3 linked regions of the Danio rerio genome follow. The protein of the gene in region 2 interacts with the protein of the main gene of each other region in a pairwise test. Links are inferred from orthologs where the notes say so. Each region holds a gene or a part of one and is shown on either strand. Other genes may lie near its edges.

What was found.
Region 1: the proteins of creb3l1 (region 2) and pgap2 interact in binary tests that used the Homo sapiens proteins (3 or more experiments, as listed by UniProt). The two-hybrid records come from large-scale screens. The link is inferred for Danio rerio from reciprocal best matches to the Homo sapiens genes CREB3L1 and PGAP2.
Region 3: the proteins of creb3l1 (region 2) and gpr25 interact in binary tests that used the Homo sapiens proteins (3 or more experiments, as listed by UniProt). The two-hybrid records come from large-scale screens. The link is inferred for Danio rerio from reciprocal best matches to the Homo sapiens genes CREB3L1 and GPR25.

Annotation. Positions count from the first base shown.
Region 1 is NC_133196.1:33,641,215-33,644,873, reverse strand, and holds part of pgap2 (post-GPI attachment to proteins factor 2), read left to right. Parts: intron 1-1,599; coding exon 1,600-1,708; intron 1,709-3,659.
Region 2 is NC_133182.1:39,151,834-39,155,492, forward strand, and holds part of creb3l1 (cyclic AMP-responsive element-binding protein 3-like protein 1), read left to right. Parts: intron 1-41; coding exon 42-150; coding exon of another isoform or gene 151-219; coding exon 220-241; intron 242-371; coding exon 372-521; intron 522-2,496; coding exon 2,497-2,555; intron 2,556-3,102; coding exon 3,103-3,171; intron 3,172-3,659.
Region 3 is NC_133186.1:26,792,268-26,796,026, forward strand, and holds the start of gpr25 (probable G-protein coupled receptor 25), read left to right. Parts: upstream 1-1,367; 5' UTR 1,368-3,318; coding exon 3,319-3,759. UniProt on the Homo sapiens protein: Orphan receptor.

The sequences.
Region 1 (3,659 bases), on a different chromosome or scaffold from region 2:
AATGTGGAAGGTTATTGCGTGTCTTTTAACACGGTTTACTGCTAGTTTGATGTAATTTTGCTCACATGGATAATTGAATATTAATCAGATGATGTCATTACGCTGCCATCAGCCAATCGTTGCATTGCAGATCATGATTTCGAGGATCGATAGATCAGTCGTTCACAACACACGCAGCGATCTCAGATCAGTTCATCCAGACATTCTAATCTGATTCGCGAGCTTGTTTGAAGAACCAAATTAGTGAGAGATCAGTTATCGAGATGAAAAGATCCAGGATCTGCCAAATCATCTTAGATCATTTAAGCGAGGTATGAAGAACGGACCCATGTTTTTTTGTTTTTTTTAAGGAATAATAATTTATGCAGTCATGCACATTTTTTTGACATCTAATATGCTTGATTTGATGCTTCACAAAAGCTCTGGACACCTTTACCCATATCAAAATGTTTTTGATGCAAAATTAAAATAAACAGACAGTTATTCCTTATGCAGATTAAGAAACTTAAATAGGGCTTGGCTACTATAATAAAGAAAATCTGCTCTAATGTAAAATAAATAAATTGCTAAATACTCTCGACACATAAAAGTATAAAGCCTGTGGTGCACAACAAAGGTGGAAAGTTATTGCGTATTTAACAAATATACAAACATAAACATTTATATTTAAAAAACCGTTTACAATGAATTTTATATAATTTTGCTCACATGAGTAATTGAATAATAATCAGATGATGTCATTACACTGCTGTGCTGTCAGCTAATCGTTTCATTGCTGATCATGATTTTGATGATCGACAGATCAGTCCTTCACAACACATGCATTGATCTCAGATCAGCTTATCCAGAAATGTTTATCTAATCACGAACTTGCTTGAAGAACCAAATTAGCCAGAGATCTGTTATCAAGATTAAAAGATCCAGGATCTTAATATGTATATGTGATACACACATGCATAGAAACAAAACCATACAAAACAATTGTGTTACATGGATAGATATATATAATAAGTGTGTACAATTTTATTATTATTTAGGATGTGATTAATCGCAATATATTTTTGCCCAGCAATAATTTTTTAGGCATTCAAACAAAATGAGGGGATAAGAAAAAAAAAAACAGATTAGCATCCCATAAAAAAAACCCTCTAGCGTCTAATAAACATCTTGTGAACCTCATGTTAAAATCACATGTGAAACATTTCATGCACATCTCACATGTGATTTTAACATGTGAATCTTTTACTGTTCAATTTTACACTCAGCTTATATTCTCATACATAGACTTTCTCTAATTATTCAGCTACGCTCTTAACACACAAGTGATCTTGACACCACTCGCACAGCTCTAATAAAAGGTGTTGCTTTTGCGCCGCCGGGTGAGAATTCTGGGAGTTAATGTGTCAAAGACCGCAGTGTGTCTGTATATTTGTGCTGCTGTGAAAGTGCAGCTCTGGGGGAAGTGGTTGCAGTATTTTCATAGAGCCGCGCTCCACCTGCTTGCTCCACATCGCGTTGCAGAAGAGAACTGATGACATTGTGTGTCTTCTTTCTCTTTTTTCTCTCTTCTCTTTCTTCACGAACCCGCTTTGTCACCAGGAGATGATGTCGTACTGGTTTAAGCTCCGCCTTTTCCTGTTCAACGGCGGCTGCTGTGTGTTGGCGGTCTACTTCTACAGGCGGCACAACACGTACTGTGAAGAAGGAAGTGAGTGCAACATCTCTGTTCTTCACCCCACCCTAATTTCCCTCAATGGTTTATGAGAAATGATTTTAAAATCAACTCAGAAATTATTATGAACTATAATTGATTGCTAATATTTGGGGAATTTTATGGTCACCATTAATCAGATTTAAGATATGAAGAAAATTGTATTTCTTGTAAAGTGTTTTTGAGGTTTAAAACTTAAAAAGTGTCTAAAATGTCAGCAGAAATTGCATTTATCTGCAGAATTTTTATAATGTCACTTAAAAGGAGGGTCGAGGCAGTGGCGCAGTAGTTTCCCCCACAGTCCAAAGACATGTGGTACAGGTGAATTGGGTGGGCTAAATTGTCCATAGTGTATGAGTGTGTGTGTGTGAATGTGTGTGTGGATGTTTCCCAGAGATGGGTTGCGGCTGGAAGGGCATCTGCTGCGTAAAAACCTGCTGGATAAGTTGGTGGTTCAATCCGCTGTGGCGACCACGGATTAATAAAGAGACGAAGCCGACAAGAAAATGAATGAATGAACTTTAAAGGAGTCTTTGCTAAATAAATGTGTATTTCTTTTCAAATGAATTCTAAAACTCAAATTTTATAAGCCGTAGTTTGTTAGAATAGTTTTTCGTGTTTTAAACTGTTCGTAGCAAGCTTCAGAAATATACTTGTATAATATGAACATATGATACACGTTTACAGTATCACTCAACAGTTTATATTGTGAATTATTGATTATGGTGCTCAATTCCCCTCTTATAACATTTAGATCTCACATTCAAGTTGATCTTTAAAACACTTATAATTAAAACGCACTGCTAATTATAATCTTTATCAAAGATTGACAAAATTATTGGGCACATTTGAAATGTAATTTTGCATAGTCATTTGCCAATTGGGGCCAAACTACTGCATGAAAATTCTCTCTGAATTTCAAAAGTTATTGACAAAAGTTGAACATTTGATAGATATTAAAATGGCTAAAATTCTTTAAGGAAATTAGTTAATTTCACCAAACCCAATACACTTAGTTTAGTTTAGTTTAGTTTAGTTTAGTTAGTTTAGTTTATTTATTTATATAGCACATTTTTTACAACACAACGTTGCCCAAAGTGCTGAACACAATCAATACTAAACATGAAATCTACATCACATAAATAACAATTAAAACATAAGGCAAATCCCTCAACATTAAAAAGGCTCAAACACTAAGGAACAAAGATGGTGTTTTAAACGCTTTTTAAAAACAGGTAGAGTTGGAGCGTGTCTGATGTGGGGCGGAAGCCCGTTCCAGAGTTTTGGGGCGACAACAGCAAAAGCCCGATCCCCACTTCGCTTACACCGGGACCTTGGTACAGATAGAATAAATTCATCAGAAGACCTCAGTGACCTACCAGGATTGTATACGTGTAGCAGGTCTGATAAGTATGATGGTGCCAGATTGTTTAAGGATTTAAAAACAAAGATCAATAGTTTAAAATCAATTCTCGACCTAACAGGCAGCCAGCCCAGAGAGGAAAGAACTGGGGATATGTGCTCAAACTTGCGAGTCCCTGTCAGAAGTCTCGCAGCTGCATTCTGTACTAATTGCAATCTGTTTAGGGCATTTTGACTAATACCCACATACAGAGAATTACAATAGTCAAGTCTTCCCAGAATAAAAGCATGGATCACCTTCTCAAGGTCATTAAAAGAGAGAAACGACTTTACTTTTGCCACAAGTCGTAAATGGTAAAAACTGGATTTAACAACTGTATTTACTTGTTTGTTAAATTTCAGATCACTGTCGAATTGAAATCCTAGGTTTCTAACAACAGGTTTTTGATAAGTGGAAAGCTCACCAAAACCTGATAAATGCAGAGGGTTAGGATCGCCAAACCAGACCAGCTCAGTTTTTTCTTCATTGAAATTTAAAAAATTTGACGAAAGCCAGCTCTTAACCTCGACTAGGCATCTCATAAAG
Region 2 (3,659 bases):
GTACTTTCAGCTGTATCAAGATTATCTGTGTGTCCCAACAGAAGAGCATTTGCGGTTGCCGCCAACTCCTCCCAGCAGCCATGGCAGCGACAGTGATGGATCCCAGAGCCCACATTCACTGCCACCATTAAGCCCTGGCCACCTGCAGAGCCCACATTCACTGCCACCCTCCAGCCCTGCCCGGCTACAGGCCCGGACCTCCACTGCTATCTCCTCATCCCCTCTCCTCACCGCCCCGCACGTGAGTGCTAATCAATGCGGCACATGACACACCACACTATATACACATATATTCCTAATGGAAATTTGCATACAGTTACGTCTTAAGCAGTTCTATTTAAAGTGAAACTCTGTCTTGTGTTGAAATGCAGAAGCTGCAGGGAACATCAGGCCCTTTGATGCTGACAGAGGAAGAAAAGAGGACTTTGATCGCTGAGGGATATCCTGTCCCCAACAAACTACCGCTCACCAAAACCGAAGAGAAAGCACTCAAACGGGTGCGCAGGAAAATCAAAAATAAGGTATTGATAATGATTACATACTATTAATATTGAAATAACTTGGTTATTAAAACAAGTCTCTTATTATATAAGTTTTGTGCATATACAGTTGAAGTCAGAATTATTAGCCCCCCTGTTTATTTTTTTCTCCAATTTCTGTTTAGCGGAGAGAAGATTTTTTCAGCACATTTCTAAACGTAATAGTTTTAATAACTCTTATCTAATAACTGATTGATTTTATCTTTGCCATGATGACAGTAAATAATATTTGACTAAATATTTTTTAAGACAATTCTATACAGCTTAAAGTGACATTTAAAGGCCTAACTAGGTTAATTAGGTGAACTAGACAGGTTAGAGTAATTAGGCAAGTTATATATAACGATGGTTTGTTCTGTAGACTATCGAAAAAAATTTGCTTAATGGGGCTAGTAATTAAAATGGATTTAAAAAATTAAAACTGCTTTTATTTTAGCCGAAATAAAACAAATAAGAATTTCTCCAGAAGAAAAAATATTATCAGACATACTGTGAAAATTTCCTGTATATGGAAATAATTTATGGATCAAAGAAAAAAATCCTACAGTACTTTTGATGTTAATATGAAATTTTATTTGGTTAATATATACATATAATTGTATATAAAATATTGAACACATGAAGAAATAGAGGTGGAAAAAGGAATGGAAAGCCCAGATAGCAGATGAATTCTCTCAGTAGTTAGTAGAAAGTCTATTGAAGTGTGAAAATCACACCTGAAGAATGCAAAATTCTCCAAAGCTACCACTAACAAAAAAGCCTTTTATGCAAAATATTCAATATATTTCAGTAGTTCATTACTTTCTCCTTTTGCCATTCCATGTTTTTACACATAACACTTTTTAAAGATTTTTTTTTGCATTACTTGTATGTTTGGGTGTTTTTAACATTTTTTAAACCAAAATCTGGGTCAATTTCATGTGAACAGCTCCTTTAGAAATATAAACAGTGAGCATAAACAAGTACACCCCTCACAGATCTCTCTTATGAATCAATTTTTTTCTAAAATATTTTTCTGAAACTTGAACAATTCTAACAAAAAAACTTAAGATTAGTCAAAATATTGGTACACCCAAATTAATATGTTAGAAATATATATACAGTGCTTAGCATATATAAGTACATATTTATATTTTCTAGGAAGCTGTACAATATTATATTTATGCAAATACATTAGATTAGTCAGTACTGAAGCCAAATCTTGGTTATTCAGGGATGGGTTACGGCTGAACGGGCATCCGCTGTGTAAAAACTTGCTGGATAAGTTGGCGGTTCATTCCGTTGTGGCGACCCCGGATTAATAAAGGCTAAAAAAAAGCTGAAAAGAAAATTAATGAATGAATGAATTTTCAAAAACAGAAACAAATCAAGATAAACAAAAAATGTATGCAATTTTGTTAAAATGTTGTTAGTTTGTAATTTTTTTTTTATATTTTGCATGAATTTATTGTATCATCATTCCATTTTTAAAGATGTTTGGTGACTAAAGTATTATTTTAACAAATGTATCTGTTTAATAAATCTGTTTTGTTTAAATGCACCAATATTACCCATATTCACAGATAAATGGATAAAAATATTCATTTTCAAAATGGAGTGTATTCATTTATGCTAAGCACTGTAAATAATATACAGAATAATATACAATTAAATTATTATATAGCATTTTTTTCCCACTAATTTGATTTTAAATTTATTAACTTTCTATTCCTAAGGATATTCAGTTACCAACTCTTATTTTAATTGATATAACTGTTTGATGAAACTGCTATTAATTCCTTAAAATATATTGTCTACATTCACTGAGAACTGCATAAAAGTATATTTATTTTCATTTATGCTGAGCACTGTATACCAAGTAAAATCATGAGCTGTTCAATACTTACTCTAGCCACTGTATTAATATATGAATAATATATTTACGCTCATTATAATATTTTTTACATTCTTTTCTTAGATCTCTGCACAGGAAAGCCGCAGGAAGAAGAAGGAATATGTGGAGTGTTTGGAGAAGAAGTAATTCCACTCTATTATCTCTCTCTCTCTCTTAAATGCTTTGTTCTCTACCTCTTTTCTCTCTCTCTCCTGCATTCTGACTGCTGTCCTTTTCTCCTCTGCTCTTATTTTCCCTTCCTCTCTTTTGCTTTGTTTATCCAACAGCATCCACTCTCTCTGTGCCTTCATCCTTCGTTCTCTTCGATGACCTCCTCTCCTTTAATCCTCTCGTCATTCTCACCCCAGCATACCCTCAAAATGCGCTATACCCTTCTAGCTGTTTTATGGCTTTTATTGTGTGAATATGGCCAATGGCTACAGTCCATGCACTCATTGGTGTATGTGTGTGTGTGTTTGCGCGCGTTTGCATGAGTCATTTTCCCTTTTGTGCTGCTGTTAGGCTCTCAGGGTTTGGATAATGTGCTGGAGAGACTGGACTCACACTGGACACACTCACACACTGGCTTTTCTTGCTTATATGTGGTCATACTTATGGAAACGTTTTTGTAAATGCATCTCAATGTGACCGTGCGCAATAACACACTCTTTCTCTTTTACTCCTCTTCAGAGTGGAGAACTACACTTCAGAGAACAATGAACTCTGGAAGAAAGTTGAGACGCTTGAAAATGCCAACAGGTGAGGAAGCACATGTGTGCTCGTGTTTAATCACGGCGAATACTTTATAGGTGGATTTTAATACATTTAAGTGTGGCTGTATTTGCGGTAAGTGTGCGGGTCTTTGCAGTCAGCAGGTGTTGTTAAGTTGATCCAGATGCGTGCAGGTCTTAACCTCCCCTTCCGATCATATAGAGCAGCACCTTTTCATTCTCTCCTGGGTGGCCTGCTTAGAGTATTGGCGCTGTCGACAGGCTGCTGTCTGTTCCTACTGTTTAGAGAGACAGAAGAGAGGGCACCGTGGGGGATTGGGTGTTATCAAAGTCAGCACTTTTTTTGTGGATTAACTGTAGCTCATTGGAGGCGAAAGCTCTTAAGGGGTAGTTCATTTAAAATGAAAAACGAAAAATCTGGAGGAATTTTTCTTCTTTTTTGGAACATAAAATTATGCTTAGTTATGTTTTAGATTTGTTTTATCTGTAGAATGAAAGATTGGGTGTTTTCTGAAG
Region 3 (3,759 bases), on a different chromosome or scaffold from region 2:
AGAGTCGGGGGTCGCATTCAGTGCGCTGACATCTCAGATCCAGAGAAACATCCCTTGATCCTTCCATCTAGCCATCATGTGACTGATCTTTTAATTCAGCATTATCATGATCAAGTGGCTCACCAAGGACGGCATTTTACGTAGGGCGCTATACGTAGTGCTGGATTGTGGATTGTCAGCGGTAAAAGACGCATTTCAAATATCATCCACAAATGTGTCCTATGCAAAAAGCTAAGAGGTAAAATGGAAAGTCAGAAGATGTCGGCTCTGCCCCCAGACCGGCTTTCTGTAGATCCACCTTTCACATACACAGGTCTTGATGTTTTTGGACCTTTCACTGTGGTGACACGCAAAACAAGAGGGCACAACATTGAGAACAAGCGATGGGCTGTCATATTCAGTTGCTTGAGTAGTAGAGCAGTTCACTTGGAAGTTATGGAATCTTTATCAGCGTCAAGCTTTATTTGTGCTTTGAGACATTTTTTGGCTGTGAGAGGGCCAGTAAAGCACTTTTGATCAGACAGAGGGACGAATTTTGTTGGAGCAGGGAAAGAACTCCAAATCGACAGTGGCGACTCTGAGCTAAAAGGGTTCTTGCAGAATCAAAGCTGCACTTGGACATTCAATGCTCCACACTCCTCTCATATGGGGGGTGTGTGGGAAAGAATGATGGGGATAGCCAGACGTATTCTGGAAGCGCTCTTAGTAAAATCTGCTACAAGACTCACACATGAAGTCTTAACAACCATAATGGCAGAAGTCATGGCCATTATGAATTCCCGACCTTTAACCCCAATTTCTACAGATGCAAGTATGCCTCAAGTGCTCTCACCAGCAATGCTCTTAACTCAGAAAGCAAGTGTTGCCCCAACTCCACCAGGAAACTTTGAGTTAGGACACTTGCACAAAAGTCAGTGGCGTCAAGTCCAGATGTTAGCAGATTCATTCTGGAAGCGATGGAAGCAGGAGTACTTGTCCACCTTGCAATCCAGAAGAAAATGGACTGAGGAGAGAGATAACATTCAGGAAGGAGACGTTGTTCTGTTAAAGGATGGGGAAGCTAAGCGCAGTGAGTGGCCAAATGGCCTCGTAACAAAAACCGTAGCCTCATCTGATGGGAAAGTCCGAAAGGTTATGGTAAAGACTGCTAAGCAAGGGGCTGTCAGGGAGTACTTATGGCCTATATGTGACGTAGCTTTACTTTTATCTAGTGATTAAAAGCATAGTGGTATATGCAATACACCAGGCGGGGAGTGTACTGTATGGTGTTGATTCGTTTGGTAAGCTGTGCATTGATTTATTTAAGTGGTGTAATTGTGAAAATGTCATTGCGCCATTCTTTAGAACAACCGGATATTTAAAAAGTCATAGAAGAAGAGACTGTGATCGCCATGCAGAGACGCGACTTGTTGTTTGCTTTTAGCCCTTGTGATAGAAACGACTGTAAGTTACTAATTTTATTTTGAAAACATCTGCAATACTTCCTTTGGGTTAAATTGATTAAGGAGGGTCAGTGTTGAAATGTTTAATGCTTGATGTTCTGTTTAAATGCTAACAAGCTTGCATATAGATGCACGTCATTAAAGTGCCTGGATTGTTTATTTAGCTGTTTGATATCAGTTTAAATATGTCAGTTTATGTTTACAAATGTGAAAGATGTATATTATTTGTGATATTTCGTAATCACTTTGTAATTTTTACCTTTTGTATTTTTCCTTTTTAGTTTTACAAGCAAATCAAGTAAAGGTGCTTCACATTCGCAAGAAGAAAGTGTGATGGTGCTTTATTTCTGTTAACTATCTGTCAGCTTTGGTTTTGAACACCATTGCCAGGGCAGAATATTCAGAATAGTCTAAAAATGCTTTCTTTTTGTGCTAATTTTTTTTGTCATGATTAAATAAATATTTAATGTTATAAATATTGAATGATAGTAATGAATTTAAAAGATCTGTTTTGTGGCTTCTGTACAGTGTTGCGCATATCTTTAATAAAGGGCACTGTCTTTCTAATGACTTGCAAACATATCAGCACGGGAAATCTTCGACTATCCAGCTTATTGCCAAGGTCCCACTAAACCCAGCTTGCGATAAACCCTACAAGTGACAAGAACTGAAACACACACACAAATTTAAATAAAACTGATGTTTTGTAAGATAAAACACTGGAATGCACCTTACATTTCTTAATACTGATTAAAAAAGCTTTCCTTTTAGGTTTTCAATTGTGTGAAATTATCTCACTTTTCTTTTTTCTTGTTGTCTATTCACCTGTCACGAAGTGTGAAGTTATATTATAAGTGTTACAGTTATACTTACACTTTTGAAATCCACTCATTTGCATGTCGATCTAAGATTTAGCTTGAGAGTACAAAAATTCCCACAAGATTTCACCACATGAATTTGCCACACTGACCAGCAGAAAACTGGTTGCTTTAAATTTAACTGTGAGACCCTTTCTTTACACATCAGTTTGTTTGTTAAAAAAGAACTTCACCGAAGGATTACTAATTTGATCATCAGTGAACTTTTGGTGCTTTTGAAAGCTAAATGTCTATACTAAACTTGTCTTATCCAGTCTGAGCCTGAAAGGTCTTAAAGTTTAGAAAATGCAGAGTAAAACCCAGGAAACCACAACATCACACATGACTCAAATAAGCTCTGCACTTTATTCTTTAGTTTGTTGCAAAGCTGAATTAAAAACTAAAAGGCATGACATCAACCGTTTTTTTCTTTTAACTGCTTGCAAGGTGCTTTTTTTCGTCTTATACTGACAAAGAGGAAGTGTTTACGCATTTATGAGAAAACTGCTTTAAATCATTCAATAAAATCCCATGGCACTCACATTTGATTTATTACATATACAAAATATGGAATTCTTAAAATCTTTATTCCCATCGGTGCTTCAGTGGAGATCCCAGAACAATCATGAAGCATTTTCATCCCACTAAAAGTTGTTTAAAATGCAAAAATCTTCTTTAGATTGAATGACACTGTTCTTCCTACTATGAAACAAAAGATTCTGTGAACTATTTAGTCTCAAAGATTCTTCTGGTGTCCATCTTTAAATGTACATAAGCTCATTATGAGCAAAAACAGCCTTTTCAAATGTTTTAAGTAATTACACTAGAGCAGTAAGTCCAAAAATGTAATAAATCACTGATTGATATTTTAGAAGTGTAAATATAAAGAAAAGTGTCACTTTGTGTTAAATTTACAACTTTTAAGGAAACAGAGCATGAGAGAACCTGTTATTGCAGTTTGTGGTTTCCATCATGTGACTTGCTAGGTTTTCTCTTCATTGCCCATCACTTGTGCACAGATGGCAAGCAGCACAGAGATGGCACACTCTGGAATTACAATGAGCTTGACAAGTGAATATGACTATGACTATCCAATTAATTCCACGGACGAGAATCCAATCTACACCCTTCCCGACGCTGAACTGCTGCCCATGTCTAACATCTACATTCCTGTGCTGTACATCATTATGTTCCTCACCGGCTCTTTGGGAAACCTGTTTGTGATTGTGGTCATTGGAAAGCGGCGCAAGAAAAGTGGACGCCTGGTAGACACCTTCGTGCTGAACCTGGCACTAGCCGACCTCGTGTTTGTTCTCACGCTGCCAATGTGGGCAATTTCGACCCGTTATGACGAGTGGCCCTTTGGTGAGGTGTTATGCAAGATTAGCAGCTTTATCATTGCGGTTAACCGCTTTTCCAACATCTTCTTCCTCACCTGCATGAGCGTGGACCGCTACCTG